2 linked regions of the Notamacropus eugenii genome follow. The protein of the gene in region 2 interacts with the protein of the main gene of each other region in a pairwise test. Links are inferred from orthologs where the notes say so. Each region holds a gene or a part of one and is shown on either strand. Other genes may lie near its edges.

The links.
Region 1: the proteins of ATP10B (region 2) and TMEM30A interact in a protein complementation assay, tested with the Homo sapiens proteins (2 studies listed by IntAct, with this or other methods). The link is inferred for Notamacropus eugenii from reciprocal best matches to the Homo sapiens genes ATP10B and TMEM30A.

What each region holds. Positions count from the first base shown.
Region 1 is NC_092873.1:145,189,139-145,197,751, reverse strand, and holds the start of TMEM30A (cell cycle control protein 50A), read left to right. Parts: upstream 1-5,424; 5' UTR 5,425-5,563; coding exon 5,564-5,839; intron 5,840-5,951; exon of another isoform or gene 5,952-6,226; intron 6,227-8,613. UniProt on the Homo sapiens protein: Accessory component of a P4-ATPase flippase complex which catalyzes the hydrolysis of ATP coupled to the transport of aminophospholipids from the outer to the inner leaflet of various membranes and ensures the maintenance of asymmetric distribution of phospholipids.
Region 2 is NC_092872.1:390,272,639-390,280,884, reverse strand, and holds the start of ATP10B (phospholipid-transporting ATPase VB), read left to right. Parts: upstream 1-4,575; 5' UTR 4,576-4,624; intron 4,625-8,246. UniProt on the Homo sapiens protein: Catalytic component of a P4-ATPase flippase complex, which catalyzes the hydrolysis of ATP coupled to the transport of glucosylceramide (GlcCer) from the outer to the inner leaflet of lysosome membranes.

The sequences.
Region 1 (8,613 bases), on a different chromosome or scaffold from region 2:
TGGATTTTGGCTCTGACATTTGTGGGAATTTTTCATGTTTTTTTTTTTCAGGAGGTGATAGTAGATACTTTCTGTTTTCACACTGCCCTCTGGTTTCAGTAGATCTAGGCAGTTTTCATTCATGATTTCTTGAAATATGATACTAGGTAGTTGTTTTGTCATATCATAATTTTGTTTGGGCTCGTTTAATTTCCTATTTTTTCTTCCAGTGCTTTCATTTATATTATTTTTAAACTTGTTTCATTTTTCCCAGGAATTCTGTAAAACTTGTAGTAAACTGTATTTTTGCTTGAGGTTTTCATTGTAGATTGTGTATTGTGTGGAGTTCTCTTTTTCTAAATTTGTGGCTTCAGTATTCCTGGAGATACAATATTTATCAGTAGGGTTTTCTTTTGTTTATTCATTTTTGCAGTCCTACCTCCTAAATTGAGACTTTGTGTCAGAATCAGACTGCATACTTTTGGAAGCAATGGTGGGGTCTTATTTGGTACTGATCATTTTGTAGGGTTCTGTCACTGCTTCCTCCAGGGACTCTTACGTTGTGTTCTTCAAGAAGATCTAGAAGTTTGGGACAGCAATCTATACCAGGATAATCCATAGCTTGACCTTATCTTTGCCTTCCTGATCTGAACCTTGCAGGTTCCTGACCTTCAGTCTGAGTTCTGAGTAATATTGCTATATAGCTTTGAAGGTAACCTCAGAAAAGATTGCATCTAGTAGGTTAAACCAGTAAATCCATGTTCTTATCTCCCTGTTCCTGGGTACTTAGCTACATATTCCAGATTTGGAAAGCTTCTGTTCAGTGTGATTTTGAAGTGGACTTTTCTTGCTAAAATCCTTTGCTTTTGATTTTCTCTTTTGTGTCACCATAGGCTGTAAAATGCAACACAATCTCTCTTTAGATTTCTTGATCATTATTTGGTATGGTGCTAATTTTTCATCCTTTCTGGAGTAGGAGAGTGGGGCTCTTCTGCTCTCATTTATTCTGCCATCTTGAAGTAATCTCTTGAATAGACAATTTTCAGAAGAAGAAACGCAAACTACCATCAACTATATGAAAAAATACTTCTTTTGTTGTGAAGTCATTTCATAGTCTGCATGATTTCATTTGGGGTTTTCTTGGCAGAGATAGTACAGCGGTTTGCTGTTTCATTCTTCAGCTCACTTTATAGAAGAAGAACTAGGGCAAACAGGGTTGTGTCATATAGCTAGTAAGTGTCTGATGTTGGATTTGAACTCGGGTCCTCCTGACCAGCGCCACTGTTGTATCCACTGTGCCATCTAATTGCCCTACAAAATTGCTACATTATCATTAATAATAGAAGAAATGTATATTAAACCTTGAGGTTTTTATCTTGTACCATAAGACTGGTAAATATGACAAAAGAAGAAAATGGTAAATGTTGGAGTTGTTATGGGAAGATACTCATTGATAGCTGAGTTGTAAACTGACCTGTTTGGATATCATTAGGAATTATACTAAGAAAAAGCACTAAATTGTACATACATATCAAAGTGAAGCCTATGTATCATGGAAGTCAAAGGCAACAGGAAAGCTCTCTATGTATAAAAATATTTATAGTAGCACTTTTGTGGTGGCAAAAAACTGCCCATCAACTGGATGATGGCTGAACAAACTGTAATATATGAATTTAATAGAACAATGTTTTACTATAACAAATGACAAATATGAAGACTTCAGAGAAACTTGAGAAGCCTTATATAAATTGACAGGGCAAAGAAAGCAGGACCAGGAGACAATTTATACAATGACAACACTGATATAAAGGACAACAATACTGAAAACTTAAGAACTTTGAACAACATAGTAACTAATTTGACCTCAGGAATGATGGTGAAATATGTCTCTTCCCTTTTTACAGAAAAATAGCAGAGTGCAGGAGTAGAAAAAGTCATGTAATTTCATATATGACAAATATGTTAATTTGTTTTTCTTAAATGTGCTTATTTCTTACAAGAGATGGTTTTGTTATTGGGAGAATCATTGGGAACTGGCAGGCAGTGTTGTTAAAAGAAAAAGGGGAGAGGTCATCGATAAAGTACGAAAAAGAAAAAAACAACAAAAAAAAGGAAAACAAAAGAGTTGTGTGTTGTTGTAGCCAAAATATGTATCAATTTGTAGCTAACCTGTTGATTTACCTTTCAAAATCTAGCTGGACTGCTTGAAAGGTAGCAAAGAGTTCGTCATTGGTTGTTGTTGTTGTATCTGACTCTTTGTGACCTTGTGAACTATACTGTCCATGGGGTTTTCTTGGCAAAATTATGGTTGTGGCTTGCCACAGTGGATTAAGGCAAACAGAGGTTAAGTGACTTGCCCAGAGTCTGAGGTAGGATTTAAACTTAGGTCTTCCTGACTCCAGGCCAGCACTCTATCCACTGGGCTGCCTAGTTGCCTCTTGACATTGTCATTGGGACCATAATCAAAAGTTTTTATAGCTGGAACAAACAATGCTTATGTCCTATTGACATAGCTTTTGAGAACCCAGGGTCACTTCCATGCTATGATAAGGAAGTAGGGGGATGTTGGCGGAGACTTCCATAATTAATTAGAAAAATAATCCTGGTCTTTTCTTGCAAATCAAGAACTACTCAAATATTTAAGATTTCTAGGAGAATTTGTAGAGTTCTGGGCCAATATGAAAGGTGAAAGATAATAAAAGAGGCAACAGTATAGGTTGAAAGTTTCAACTAAGATAAAGGAGCATTTAGTTAATTTCCAGTGGGGAATTATTTAGTTGTGAAGGATAAAACATCTTTTAACTTTTTCAAAAGAATCTAACAAACAAATGTGTTTTTAGTATGATAATTTTGTCAAATGCTAAAAAAAGAAAGCAGATTTCTTCCATGTTCCTATTTTCCTAAGCTTTCAACCTAAACTGTTGAATTTTTTTATCCCTTTTTTTCTTTCCTAGTGGCCAAGAATCATGTACTCTGCATTTTTAAAGACCAAATTAAATTTCTTTGGCTTCTCAAAAACCATTCTTTGGCCTTTGATACTACTCAAGTTTCTCCCTTAGCACAGTGATTTACACTAAGTACTTAATAAACACTTTTTTCTCCTGGAAATATCAGACTATGACTTGATTGATAGCTTAAGTCTTCATAGATGTCATTTAAAAGGTCAAACTCCTCTAAAACTATTAAAAAAATAATATAGGACAATTTTTATTTCATCTACAAAAGAATACAAATAGTATAAATTACATCTAGCATTTATACAGTGCTTCAAAGATTTGCAAAGCATTTTGTTATTTTGTTTGAGGTAGAGGTGCTATTATTATCCCTATTTTATGGATACACACAAATTACGTAAGTTATTCCTCCCCTTTCTACACAGGCCTTTTGATTCCCAGACAGAATTTGGTTAAATCTCCTCCCTACCCTGTTTCTTCCCTCATTTTACAAATGAAGAAATTAAGGCCGACCAGGTAGAATGACTTGCCCAAGGTTACAGAGGGGGTGGTAGAAATCCAGGACTCAAATCTAGGTTAGTCATTAGATCCAGCACTCACTGTAACCTGTTGGTCTAATTTTTTGTTGTTGTTTGGAGGCAATTTAGTGACTTGCTTGGAACCAAACAGCTAGAAAGTGTCTGAGGCTGGATTTGAATTCAGGTCCTCCTGACTCCAGGGCTGGTACTCTATCCACTGCTCCACCTAGCTGCCTCTACCTGGTCTAATCATTGTTAGCCATCCAGTGACCTTCTCACTTTTCTTAAATAAAAGACTAGGAGTAGCTTCTGACCTCTAACCTGACCATACTAAGTTACAACTCTTATCACCCAGAACTTCCTTGTTTCCCACATACCCATATATTTAGAGCTAGAAGGGCACTTAGAGGTCATTGAGTCCACTCTGTAGTGAGGGTGAGGAAGGCCAGTACCACACTGGAAGAAACTGTTCCTGATATTTGCTATCCACTTTATAATTGCATGCATTTTTACCGTGTTATTTAACAGAAAGAAATAAATGATTATTTGCTTCATGCTTCCTCCCTCCCAAACCTAAAGCTATGGACAAGGTCAAAACAGCACAGATCAAAACAAGTGTAGGGTAAAACCATTCACTGACTTCAGTGATAGATGCTGCCACGTTTCAGTACAACACGCTTTTAAGGAAATACTAAAAATTGCAAGGGCCAACCAATCCCACCAAAGAATCGCAGGCTATCCTACTGACTTAAATATAGAACAGCCAACTATCAAACACACACACTTCCTTCCATTTCCCTTTCTTGGCCTTCCTTAGACAAAGAAAAACAAACAAAAATTCCTGTCATCCCCAGAGTGGATGTTAGAGCGCCTTCATCCAGCAGCTATGTCCCAGATAGGATGACTCCATAATGGGAAACAAAGAGGGAAGATCCTAAGTGGCTTTCAGGAGGAAATTAGCAGGCAGAAATGTTGATTCGTTAAAAACTGTTGCTTTTGAGTCTGGGTTCTGTTCCATAGCAATGTTTTTCCAACAATCCCCAAGGGACCACTCAGTGAGACCACTTCCAGCGAGTCCGGTCCCCTGCGCAGGACACAAGTTTCCTCGCTAGCCACCCGAAGGCCAGGATCGTCTGATACTGTCTGACGCTGATACTGTTTCAAGCTCAGGCATTTTATGTTTCTGCAGTTGAGTGAGGTGGGGGGGGGGGGGGGGGGGGGGGGGTCTACCAAGGAAGGTCCTGGGCTTTCTGGCCCGTTGGGAAAACCAAAGCTTCCTCCTCCCTTACAAAGGCTGCTGGGTGGCTCGGTGGGCACAGCGCTGGAGCTGGAGCTGGAGTCGGGAACACCCGCGTTCCAATGTGGCCTCAGACACGTGGTGCGTGAGCCTGGCAGAGTCAAATGGCAGACCATGAAAACCCCACCAACGTGGGGTCGCGTGGGGTGACACAGAGTCGGACACGCGTTAACAACATTCTTTCCCAGTAGTTTCTCCAGGCCTTCAAAAGCGGAAGGTGCGTCAAGGTCCCGAGTTCGATTCCAGCTCTGCCACTGATGGGAGGTCTTGCACAAATCACTCTCCGGGCTTTAGTAAAACGAGTTGGGGTGATTGTTGTGATTAGCTGACTGCTAAAGGGTCTTCAGGTTCTAGATCTAGGCCTCTCCGATCTCCGGGTACAACCTAGGAGGCTGGGAGGTAACTCCAGGACAACTGCACCTCGTAGGTTAAACCCGTAAGGGAAACTAGGAGGCGGGCGTCGCGCGTCACTCAGGCGCAGGGGCCCGGCGGCTGCGCGTGCGCCAAGCCCGGCCCGTCAGTTCTCCTGCGGGTACGAGCTTCCCCGGAGACGCCAGGCGGACGGTTATCCAGACCGCGCATCCGCCCCTCCCCTCCGCCTCTTCACCCTTCCGCCTTCCCTTCCTCTGGCGCCCCCCGCTGACGCCAGTTTCCGGTTCAGCGGTCCCCCGCGCGAGGGCGTCCCGCCCCTTCCGCCCCGACAGCAGCGGCGGCTGCTCCTCCTCCTCCTCCCCCTCCCGGTCTCCTGTCACATTCGGCGGCTGCGTCCCCTCGGAGGCTCCTCCGCGTGACCGGGAGCCGGGCCCCAGGGGTTGATGGCGATCAACTATAACGCTAAGGACGAGGTGGACGGCGGGCACGGGTCGAGCCTGGTGGTGGGCAGCCATGCGGGGCCCGGGAATGCGATTGGGGGCGGCGGGCCGAAGAGCCGACGGCCGGACAACACGGCCTTCAAGCAGCAGCGGCTCCCGGCTTGGCAGCCCATCCTGACCGCGGGCACCGTGCTGCCGGCCTTCTTCATCGTCGGCCTCATCTTCATCCCCATCGGCATCGGCGTTTTCGTCACCTCCAACAACATCCGCGAGTTTGAGGTGAGGGACTGAAGGACGGAGGGGCAGGGGCCGTGGGAGCCCGAGGGGGCCGTGGGAGCCCGAGGTGTCCGCTGCCCCCTCACCGCCCTCGGCCGCCTCCGCGTCTGTTTACCTGCCCTTGCTCTCGGGACCGGTGCGCTGTCCATCTTGCTCTGGAGTCTTCCGGGATTTCCTCCGGGCTGTGACTAAGGCGGATAACGATCGGATGAGGGCAGCGGTGGAGGGGTTGTTTGTTTTGTTGTTTTGGTTTGGCTTTGGAGGGGGTGGGGGAGAAAGCCCCTTCATTATGACAAGTGTATCTTGACACTTTGCTGACTCGTCTCTCTGCATGACAGCAGGGTGCTGTTAACAGCCTTCCTGCAGGAAGTGAAGCCAAGGGATGGCTGGCTGGACGGGCAGAGGGAATTTAAAATGTTACGGTGTAGTTACCTGGCTGTGAGCTTGTGGACAGCAGGGTTAGCCCCTGGATTGTGGGGAAAAGGAATCAGAAACACGTTGATATTGGTGATGGTGCCGGTGCATGAAAGAGCATTACACAGATAACCTCTAGGTTTGGGTATAAACAGGTCTTTTTAGTTATAAAGTATGAGGTTAATCAAACTTTGAAATGTCACTTCTGTTTTAAGGTTTTTAACGTTTTGTATCGTAATTTAGTTCTCTTATTACTAATCCTGTTCATCATAATCCTCAGAGATGTGGTCTAAGCAGTTCTGCAGATTAAAAAAAAAGAAGGCAGGTCTTGGAGTGGGGAGAGAGCATCATCTTAAAGCACTGAGATGACTACTGTACTTTTGTTGGTAGGGTAGCAGCATTGATGAAAGCCAGGGTTATTTTCAGACAGCCAAGAGCCAGTCTTCCATTAATGGCTTCTTGGAAAACAGTAATCAATAAACTTTTATTAAGTGCCTACTATGTACCAGGAGCTGAGGATATAAATAAAAAAGTGAGATAGTCTTTGCCTTATAAATAAAGGATATATATTTGAAAATGTGCAGTGATGTCAGGGCCACTACCAGTTGGGGGAATAAGGAGGTGCTTTGTAGGAGGTGACAGTTGCTAAGCCTGGAAGGGAAGTAGGGGTTCCAAAAGGCATGAGTGAGGTTGCAGCACATTGCATGGGGGAGTGGGGAGGGGGGAGGCCAATAGATAACCTGTAAATCAAAGAATTAAGATACGGAAAATGGCAAGTGGGCCAATTTGACTGGAAGGTAGAATATTTGAAAGGGAGTCATCTGAATAATGCCAGAAAACTAGGTTGGAGCTAGATTGTGCAAGATTTTAAATGTCTAGTGGAGAAACTTGTATTTTGACCTAAAGGCAGTGGAGTGTTACTGAAGCTTCTTTAACAAGAGAAGTGGCTTGGTCAGACCTGTAAGTTGGATGTATCAATTTAGCAGTTATACCGTGAAGGAGGATTTGGAGAGAGGAGAGACTGGATGCAAGGAGATAGAGCACTGTCTTGTGTCTTTCCATCTGGCTCTCTGTATTGGGAAAAATAAGGTTAAAGTACCATTTTAGAATCTCCATTCTACCAGTAAATAAATTGCATTACTCCCCATGTTCTATGCAACTATATATTTTCTCTCTGCCTATTTTGTTACTTTTAAAAGGAGAGGGATGGGGGGCAGCTAAGTGGCCAGTTGAATTGAGCACTGGCCCTGGAATCAGGAGGATCTGAGCTCAAAATTGACCTTAGACAATTACTAGCTGTGTGACCCTGGACAAGTCACTTAATTTTGATCGCCTGCCCAAAACAAAACCCCAAAAATAAAAGATGAGGGATGAATACTGAAGTTTTTTGATCCCTCCCCTGCCCGTTTTTTTAAAACTACTTTTATTTCCTTATCCAGTTTTTGTAAAAGAGTACAAATAGCTTTATAGTCCTTTGGGGCTTATATGTGTATTCTAGTAGGGCTTTTAGGGTTATTCCTTTTTTTTTTTTTAATTGGTATATGCCTTATCAAAAAGTGCACAGGTGTCTGCTTTCTTGTTTGTAATTTTTTCTTGTTTAATTGCATCCTAGAAGGCATGTGAGACCACAAGTTCTATGTGTTTGGCTGAGGAGATAAATTCATAGAGGTACATTGTAGTTCCTAGGGTCAAAAAATTCATCACCAGCTAGGCAAGCTTCTGGTAATGAATATTCTTGGTCTCAGAAACTCCTGAAATTATGTGTATCAGGGACAGAGGAAGTACCAACATTAGTGAAAATAGGTAATAGCGATAGTGAATAGCAGAGCTGGAACTTGAACCCCTATCTACTCATTTCAAATCCAGGCTTCTTTTATTACAATATGAGAAATTTTATAATTTTAGCTTTGGTTTTGTAGAATGAGAAAGTTGAACTAAATGATTTCTAACATTTCTTTTAATTTTAATATTCTGATTCTAATTTTAGATCTTTTATAGATTCTTATTTTAAAATTTTGTTACTTTTGGAGACTTGAAGAAATGACTATCTCTTTAGCATATAAAAATCCAGATAATTTCCCCAAACACTGCCAGTTATACCCAGGGTTTCACATTTGCCTAAACAAGTATGTAGCCCAAAGTATGTTGTGTTTTCATGCAGCTGTGTAACAGGAAGTTCTTGTCATGACTAAGAAACCGTAAGCCTCCACCACCTTTTAAATTTATTTCCCCATATCTCAATTTCTTTGTCGTCATTTCATTGTACTACGCTAGCATACCAAGGCAAAGTAAACTTTGGCACTTTTATAAAGGGTTTCATTTGAAGATTAGGATATTCTTGCATTCTGCTTCAGATTTTCAAG
Region 2 (8,246 bases):
TTACTCCTTCAGCATTTTAGAAACAGCAGGTCTTAGTAACAATTTAACAAGTATAATTAGTGATAATAGGAAGGTGCAAGATGGTAGAATGGTGTGAGCTCCCTTCATCCCCCAACACCATGCAGCAGTCTGCCCAGCAGCATCCTTGTTCTGTGTCCCCAGGCCTCTGTCTCCTCATCTATGAAATGAGAGGGTCAGACTAGACCACTGGGGCTTCTTTAAGCTCAAAAAATGTGTTACAGGGTAGTAAGAATCTAAAAGGTCAGCAAGCATAGCCCGCTTGGTCTGCAAAGGAGAAAAATGAGACCCAGAGAAGTAACTAGCCCAAAGCCTGATTCACAGTCCGGAGCTCTTTTCTCTCCAAAACCCAATCCATATAGCCTTTGATAGATGTTAGCCATGTTTCAAGGTATCAAAGGTACTTACCACTGGTAGGTTACAAAATATTCTTGACATAGACTGAGTACTTATTGTGTATAATACAGAGAAGTAGAAAGCCCAGTCCCTTTTTATGCAGAGGGTACAATTCAGTTGGAAGGCACAACCCCTAGGGAGCAACAGTTTATACAGGTATCAGTTCCACATTGCAACTTTCTCCATCACAGTTTCAATATATTGCAGGTCAGCATACGAAGTTAAACTGGAATTTGGGGGGAATTTTACAGAAGCCACAGACAACACACAAAAGCCAGCAGACAACGCAGAAAAAGTTTAGACATTTGGAAATGCATAAAATATATGTATAGGATTACATAATAACAACCCAAATTTTATAATAATATAATTTTTAATAATTTAATAATATAATATTAATTTTATAATTATATTATACATAATATAAATATAATATATAATAATATAATATTAATTAATAATTTAACAATATAATAATTTTTTTATACTGTAAACACCCCATAAAAAAAGAAAAAATGCAGACTTCTTCTCTGGTATGAAGGGAGAGTCAAAACATTTTACAAGGATTTTCCAGATCACAGGGGCACTGTACCACTAATCCCTATGATGTGGAAGGGATAAATGTATGAGGTAACACAACACCAGCTATGGACATGGGTCCACAGGAAGGAACACAAAGTAAGCGAGGGTGCACAAAGAATGCAGTGAGATTAACCAGGGAAGGCTTCTTGGAAGAAATTACTCAAACTGGTTTCTGAGAGAGGAAATATATATGAATTGAAAGGAAATTACTAGAGTCTTCTCAATAGGTAAAATATTATGAAGAAAAACCCAGAGCAAGACTTCCCCGGCTTTCAAAGTGAGACTGTATTTTCTTTTCCAGGAAGAAATAAGATGAGGCTGGATAACAAAAGTCAAGCTAGCTTATCTAGGGATTTGAATGCCATTCTAAGAAGTGTAGATTTAACATTGGAATAGTAAGAAGTCTTTGCTGATCGTTACTTGAACGAAAAAATAACATAATGAAAACAACATTTAAGGACAGCAAAATACAGGATGATCTGATCTTTAAAAAAAAAAAAAAAAAGACAGGCAGGGAACCCAGCACTAGGAAAATATTATAGTAATCTAGATATGGAAAAATGGAACTCTGAGCACAACTACATTGCTGTATTTCATTGTTTCATCACATATTGAACCTCAGAGCTATAGACAAGGAAAGAAAAGGGAAATGCATTTCCCCAGTGTAAAAGAAAGATAATAACACTCCCATCCTTGAAGATTCATTGAGTGTCCACTAGGTTCATGGCTTCCAGTTCTGGATTTCCTGTGGCATCATGGAAAGAACATTTGATTTGGAGCCAGAAGACCTGAGTTCAAATCCTAATACTACTTACTACCTGAGGGACCTCAATCTCTCTCTCTCTCCATCCCCATTCCCTCTCTCCCTCCCTCCTTCTCTATAGCATGAGTGCTCTGGACTAGCTGATTTCAAAAATCTCTTCCAGATCAAAATCCTTAAGTTCTATGGTCTATGCCCTTTCCGATAAGATATTTAGAACCAGGGTGGCTGTCTAGTTAATGTATGTGTGTATATGTATATATGTATATGTACACCCATATATACACATATACATGAGAAATCTGTCAGAATTTGAGGACCATATTCTAGTGTTGAACCTGAATCAGAAAATGGTAAATGGATACAGAAAAACAATTCATATTCTCTCCTGCCTCCAGCAGCCTGTCCCATTAAAGCCATCTGTAAGCTGAAGAGGATGCTGATGAAGGGATGAAGCCAGGACATTCCTGGGAGGAGAGGGAGCCTGAAGCCCTCAAGAGGACCTATGTGATGTCAGAACAGTATTTGGATCTCATCAGAGATGAAGCAGAGCAAAAACATGGATTCCATTCTAGGAATCAGAGAATATGGTCACTACCTTTTAGCAAAATTTCCCAAAGTTGAAATTCCCCCAGAGCTCTCAGCTCCATGGGGACAAACACAGCAGTCCTCATCAACAGAGAAGTGCAATGGAATCGTAAAATTCTTAAAACCCCTTAGAGATCAAGAAGAGAAAGGGAGAAGAGTCTGCCTTGTTTCTCCTTTAACATTTTAACACTATCATTTTCTTCACTGGAACAGCCATTTATTAGAATGGCTAATTGCTTTTTAATAATAGGCTGGAGGCATTGCTTAAACTGCCTTGTTGATCTCCATAAAACCTCAATAAAATAAAATGATATGGCCTGTCACTGGAAAATCAGAGGAAAATTTGATCTGTCCAAGACATCCTTCCCACCATTCCACTGAGCTCAAAAGCACCTGTAGTCATTGCTTCAGGAACTATGTATTGAACTCCTGTCTCCAGCAGCCTATCCCATTAAAGCCATCTGTAAGCTGAAGAGGATGCTGATGAAGGGATAAAGCCAGGACATTACAGAATAAGGTGATAAAATGATAACCTGTAAGGGCTGAAAGGGATCTTAGCCAACAGTCTATTCAACTCCATCTTAAACATGTTATTGCTTTTATATATTACTATATATAATATTAGGTATAATGTTATATATTATTATGATATATAAACAGCCTTTCACTGAGGTTGAAAGATTAAGTTATTGAACCAGGGACACACAGCTGGTTCACATTACTATTTTCTACATTTGTAAATGAGGAAACTGAGGCAGAGAGAAATTAAGTGGCTTGCCAAGTTGGGACATGAACCCAGGACTTTCTGTCTCTAGACTCAGCATATGCCACTTTGCCTCTCCTAGTGACTAAAACAACCTCCCAGAGCCAGCTACTTACAGGACAGGGACAAGATTATTTGTTGATTCAATGAATCTTTGGTTAGTTGGTTGCTGCCTGGCTCAGTAGTCCACGCTCTTTCTACCACACCAGCTGTCTCAAATTCTGTAAAGTGAAAACCTGAAAGAATATGCTATGGGTTCACTGGGGACCTGACAGTGGGAACAGATTCTTAGGAAGACCTGTCCTCAGACACTACTAGCTGGGTTACTTTGGGCCAGGCATTTAAACTCTTCTAGCTTCAGTTTCCTCATCTCTCTAAAGCTAGGATAACAATGGTGCTAATCTCATAGGGTTTGTTGTGAGGAACCAGTAAGACAATATATGGAAAGCCCATTATCAGCCTTAAGTCACCATATAAATGCCATCTTATTATTATCATCCACTCTTCCTCAAGTTACTAGCCTATCATAGACACAGAGGACCCTCCCTCCCTCTCCTTCCATAGGTCCTTTGGGTGTAGGAGCAAAAACTGAGCTGCAGCCATCCTCCCAGGCTACATGCATTTGTTTGCTTGTGGATTGTGTGCCCCCCCCCCCAAATGCAATCTCTTTATGGGCGTGGGCTGCTTTCAATTTGGGCTCCGGATCCCTAGACACTAGTTCCAAGCTGCACATAGTAGTATACTTAAGAAGGGCTTGTTGGGTGAGGTTCACGGTTTAGGGGAATTGATTTTTGCCTGTTTAGAAAGTCCTCCAGACCCAGAGAAAGGGAGAAATGAGGTTTCTGCTCCCTGGGTCCCAATCCCTGGATCTGGTGGGGTAGGGGTGACAGCGGATAATCAGCCCTGAGCCAAAGGCCCGTCTACCAGTGGGTATCTTGAAAGTTGGCTTCTCTAAGGAAAGTAACCATGGGTGTGGGGTTTGTGGGGGGAGAACCAAGCCAGTTGAACCGGCTGCACAGGGAACTCCTAGGAACTGGGGAGGAGGAGGGAGGAAGGAGAGAGTAAAGACACTCAGGACAGGATTGGGGGGAGGGTGGAGCCCAGGAATAGAGAGAAGAAAGAAGAGAAAATCAGAATGAGGTAAAGAGGGAGGGAAAATGGAATACTAATAGATTGTGAGGGACTTTACTGAGTGTGCCTTTATGTAGGGGACCCCCGCGTGGTAAGGAGGATCAAGGTGACTGTTTTCTGAACTGCAGCCCTGACTTTTTCTCCAAGGAGGAGCTGTTCCCACTTGCTTTTCCCTTGGACACTTCTAGGCCTGTCCCACCAAGAGGAGGAGCTCTGCCCCACCCCACCCCCTTTCCTATTCCTCTTTACCCCATAGAAGAGGTAAGATAACCAGTGGAACCTGTTAGCTAGCTCTATCCTCCCCCCACTACCATTAAAGCATCCTAACAGCAGGGAGTCACGCTGCCTGCCTCCCGAGTCACAGCTGTGCAACCTGCTCAGAGGAGGTAAGCTGAGAGCTGAGTGCTTGGAATGAATTGGGAAGGAAGGGGAATATCTTTGCCCCCTTTTTTCCTGGGCAACCGATCTCCAGATGGAAGGACACCCTGGAAAAGCTTACAATCCTGAGTCCTTCTTTTCCTTCAGTGGAGGTTCATAGGCTTTAGAGCTCAAAGGGATCTGGGAGATCATCTCATTCAACTCCCTTAGTTTTACAGATGAAAAAAGAGAAGCACAGAAAGTGGAAACGGTTTACTTAAAGGTCACAGAGGGTATAAGGAACAGTACTGGGATTTGAACCCAAATCCATTGATTTTTTTTTCTCTAGACACCACAATAGTTCCTCTACATTGTAACACCATCCTCAGTCTGAGCACTGGAATTGGAGGGATGACTCCTATGAAACCCTTTGGAATCAAGCATCTATCATTGGTTTTGAGATAGGTAGGGGAGTTGTCACAAGTTGAAATGAGTTTTAATTATCTCAGGTTTAAACAGGTAGCTTGGTGCAGTGGGAAAACCACTGGATTTGGGTCCAGAAGACCTTGGTTCAAAGCTTGGCTCTGCTTCTTACTACCTGTGTGTCCTTAGACGAGTCACTTAACTTCTTGGAGCCCCATTTTCCCAACTTTATAATGAGAGGCTTGGATACGATGACCCCTAAGGGAACTTTTGGATCTAATATTCTATGAACCTAATTAGAGGTTGCCTTTGGATGTGTTAGTTGCTGCTATCAAGGGTTCTCTTACTTACAAAGATGATTCCTTCTATGAGGTTGGGAATGGGGTAGTCTATTACACAGAGCAGGAGCAAAATTAACTGGTGATGGTGATGAGGAAGGGGGATGAAGATGGTGGAGATGTTAATGGTTACAACCTACTGGATTTTAGATCCCTTCAGAGCAGGGGCAGTGTACCTCTTTCCCTGCACCTAACATAGCAACCTGCTTCTAACAAATACACACTAAATGATTTCTGCATAATAAGTACATGAATGGTTAAAAATTAAACCTTTCCATCTGAGCTGTCTCTGTGCTCCAAGGGTCTACAACTCAGATGGAGATTAAGTTCAGCATAAGCTGTTAAGCAGAAATGACCCTTGCCAGCTAGTGCCTTCATATGTTATTTGGGAGTAAATTGGCACTGTTCATGTGTGATGGGCAGGTTTGGGGAATGGGAAGGAATGATTCCATAGAGGGTACTCTACCCCTTCTCCCAATACACTTAGAACATATCAGGTTCTATTTCCAGTTGTCCTGACCACCTTAGGCAGTACTGACTGGCATGTTGTTAGTTGTTGGTTTGTTGAAAGGAGGAGGTAGTATGAGGTAAAGGGAAAGAAAGCAACTCAATAGATGTAGTAACTTATTCTAAGTCTTTCTGGATTTAGAATGAGGGGGCCTGAAAGGACACAAAGGTAATGAGGATAGCTCTAAGAGGGGACTTCTTCTCCCTGCCATACCAAATCTGTACTGTCCCCAATTCTAATTTAATAGAGAAAAAAAATTGTTATGCAGGGGTCCAAATGACAACTTCAGAATTGCATAATCGAGGATGAATAGTTAGACAGCAATTTGTTTGGGGAAAAAAAACAGGGAAGGGCTGCTAGACTGATTCAAGGTGAATATGTGTCAGTTAAGATATAGCAGTCAGTGGAACTAAAGTGATCTTGGCCTCCATTAAGAGAAACTTAGTGTCCAGGAATAAGGTGAGAATCCCACTGTACCCAGTCCTAGTCAGGTCACAGTTAGAGAGTTTTGTAGTCAATTCTGGACAGTATATTTAAGGCAAGACTAGTTTTCAGATAAGAATGACCAATTTTGAGAGTCAAGTTCATGCCCTATGACATATCATTTGAAGGATCTATGAGTATTTAGCTCAAATGAGAGAAAACTAAGGAGGGGAGACATGATGGCTCTTCTATATGGAAGAGGCTTTGTTTTTATTCCATTGGTCCCCAATGAGCAGAAGAGTTGGTAGAAGTTATAGAAAGAATGGGGGGGAATGTCTAATAATTAAAGTTATCCAAAAATGGAATGGGCTGCATTGGGAGGTAGTGGAACCCTCCTCCTCACTGGGGTCTTCAAAGAAAGGCTTGATGACCAATTGTTGAATATATTAAAGAGGGAATTTTTGTTCAGGTATGAATTTGGCTATATGACTACTGAGGTTCCTTCCAAATTTAAAATCATTCTTCAATGATTCCTGGGGCCACACTAATGAAAAGTATATTTCATTAAGTTATTTCTTTATGTCTGTTACTCAATCCTCAATGACTCCTGCCAAATTCCTTTCTTGGATTTGAATTTGGAAAACACTCAGAAACCACTGTCAACATACCTCCCAGGCCGTCAGTGGCATTGGGGTTTCATAAAGTCAAAGGCAGATTCTAAAGTAAATTGCAGCCTGAAACACCCAATTAGCCCTTTAAACAGTGGGGGAAGGAAAAGAGAGGCCCTGGAGATAGAGAATCAAAACACTGATTGCCACAGGTGGTGATTTCTAAGGTCCAATTCTATGAACCTAGAAATTGCCTTTGCATAGGCAATTGACCGAGCTGTAGAAGAATTATGAGGTAAGTTCTTTTCCTATTTTTATAAGAAATAAAGAGAATAAAGAAATAGAGAGAGAGAGAGAGAGAGAGAGAGAGAGAGAGAGAGAGAGAGAGAGAGAGAGAGAGAGAAAGGAAATATAGAATTATTTTCCGTCTGTCTACCAGTTCACTTTGCCTTACCCAACCTGACTGTGCAGTCCAAACTGGCTGATGGAGATAAGCAACTCCCAGTCTCATTACTCTGGCAAACCTGCTGTTCTGGACACACAGAGATTCTGTTGATTGTAGAATGCCTGAGGATCTCGTCATGCTCATAGAGTTTTGAAGGTCTTGGGAGTTAATGCTTCTCTGCCCTGCTAAGTCACACCACACTCACAAATTCCTGCCTCACTTTCTAGCTATTTCTGCCGACTAGGGTTTGTGATTGTTTCAAATTGCTGTTATTTGGGATCTAGACCTGTGATTTTATAGGTGTGGAACTTCTTCCACTAATGCAAATAGGAAGTTTGGCTATATATGAGTTGTCTGGGTCACTGAGAAACAGTGACTAGCCTGTGATCCCATGGCTAATATATATCAAAGGCATTTCCGATTCCAAAGTCAGCTCTCTAGCCATTATATCACGCTGATTCCTATATCAAAAAGAGTACTAAACTAGGAATCAGAGAGCTCTAATTTCTCATCCTGGCTCCACCACTTACTGTAGTCTTTTAAAAAAATCATCTAACATCTCAACCTCTGTAACATAGGATAATTCTATTGCATTATGCACCTTAGAGGGCTACTCACCAATTTGAAGGGTCTTTGTAAATTATAAATCATTATACAAATATAAGATATTATAGCACAATCTTTGCGTATCTTCCCCCCTCTCTTTTTCTCTCTCTCTGTCCCTCTGTCTCAATCTCTCTAGATCTGTCTTTGTCTCTGTCTGTCTATCTCTGCCTGTCTGTCTCTGTCTCTCCCTCTGTCTCTCCTTCTCTCTCGCTGTGTCCTTGTCTCGCTGTGTCTCTGTCTCTCTCTCTGTCTCTCTGTGTCACTCTCTCTGTCCCTCTTTCTCTATCTCTGTCTCTCTCT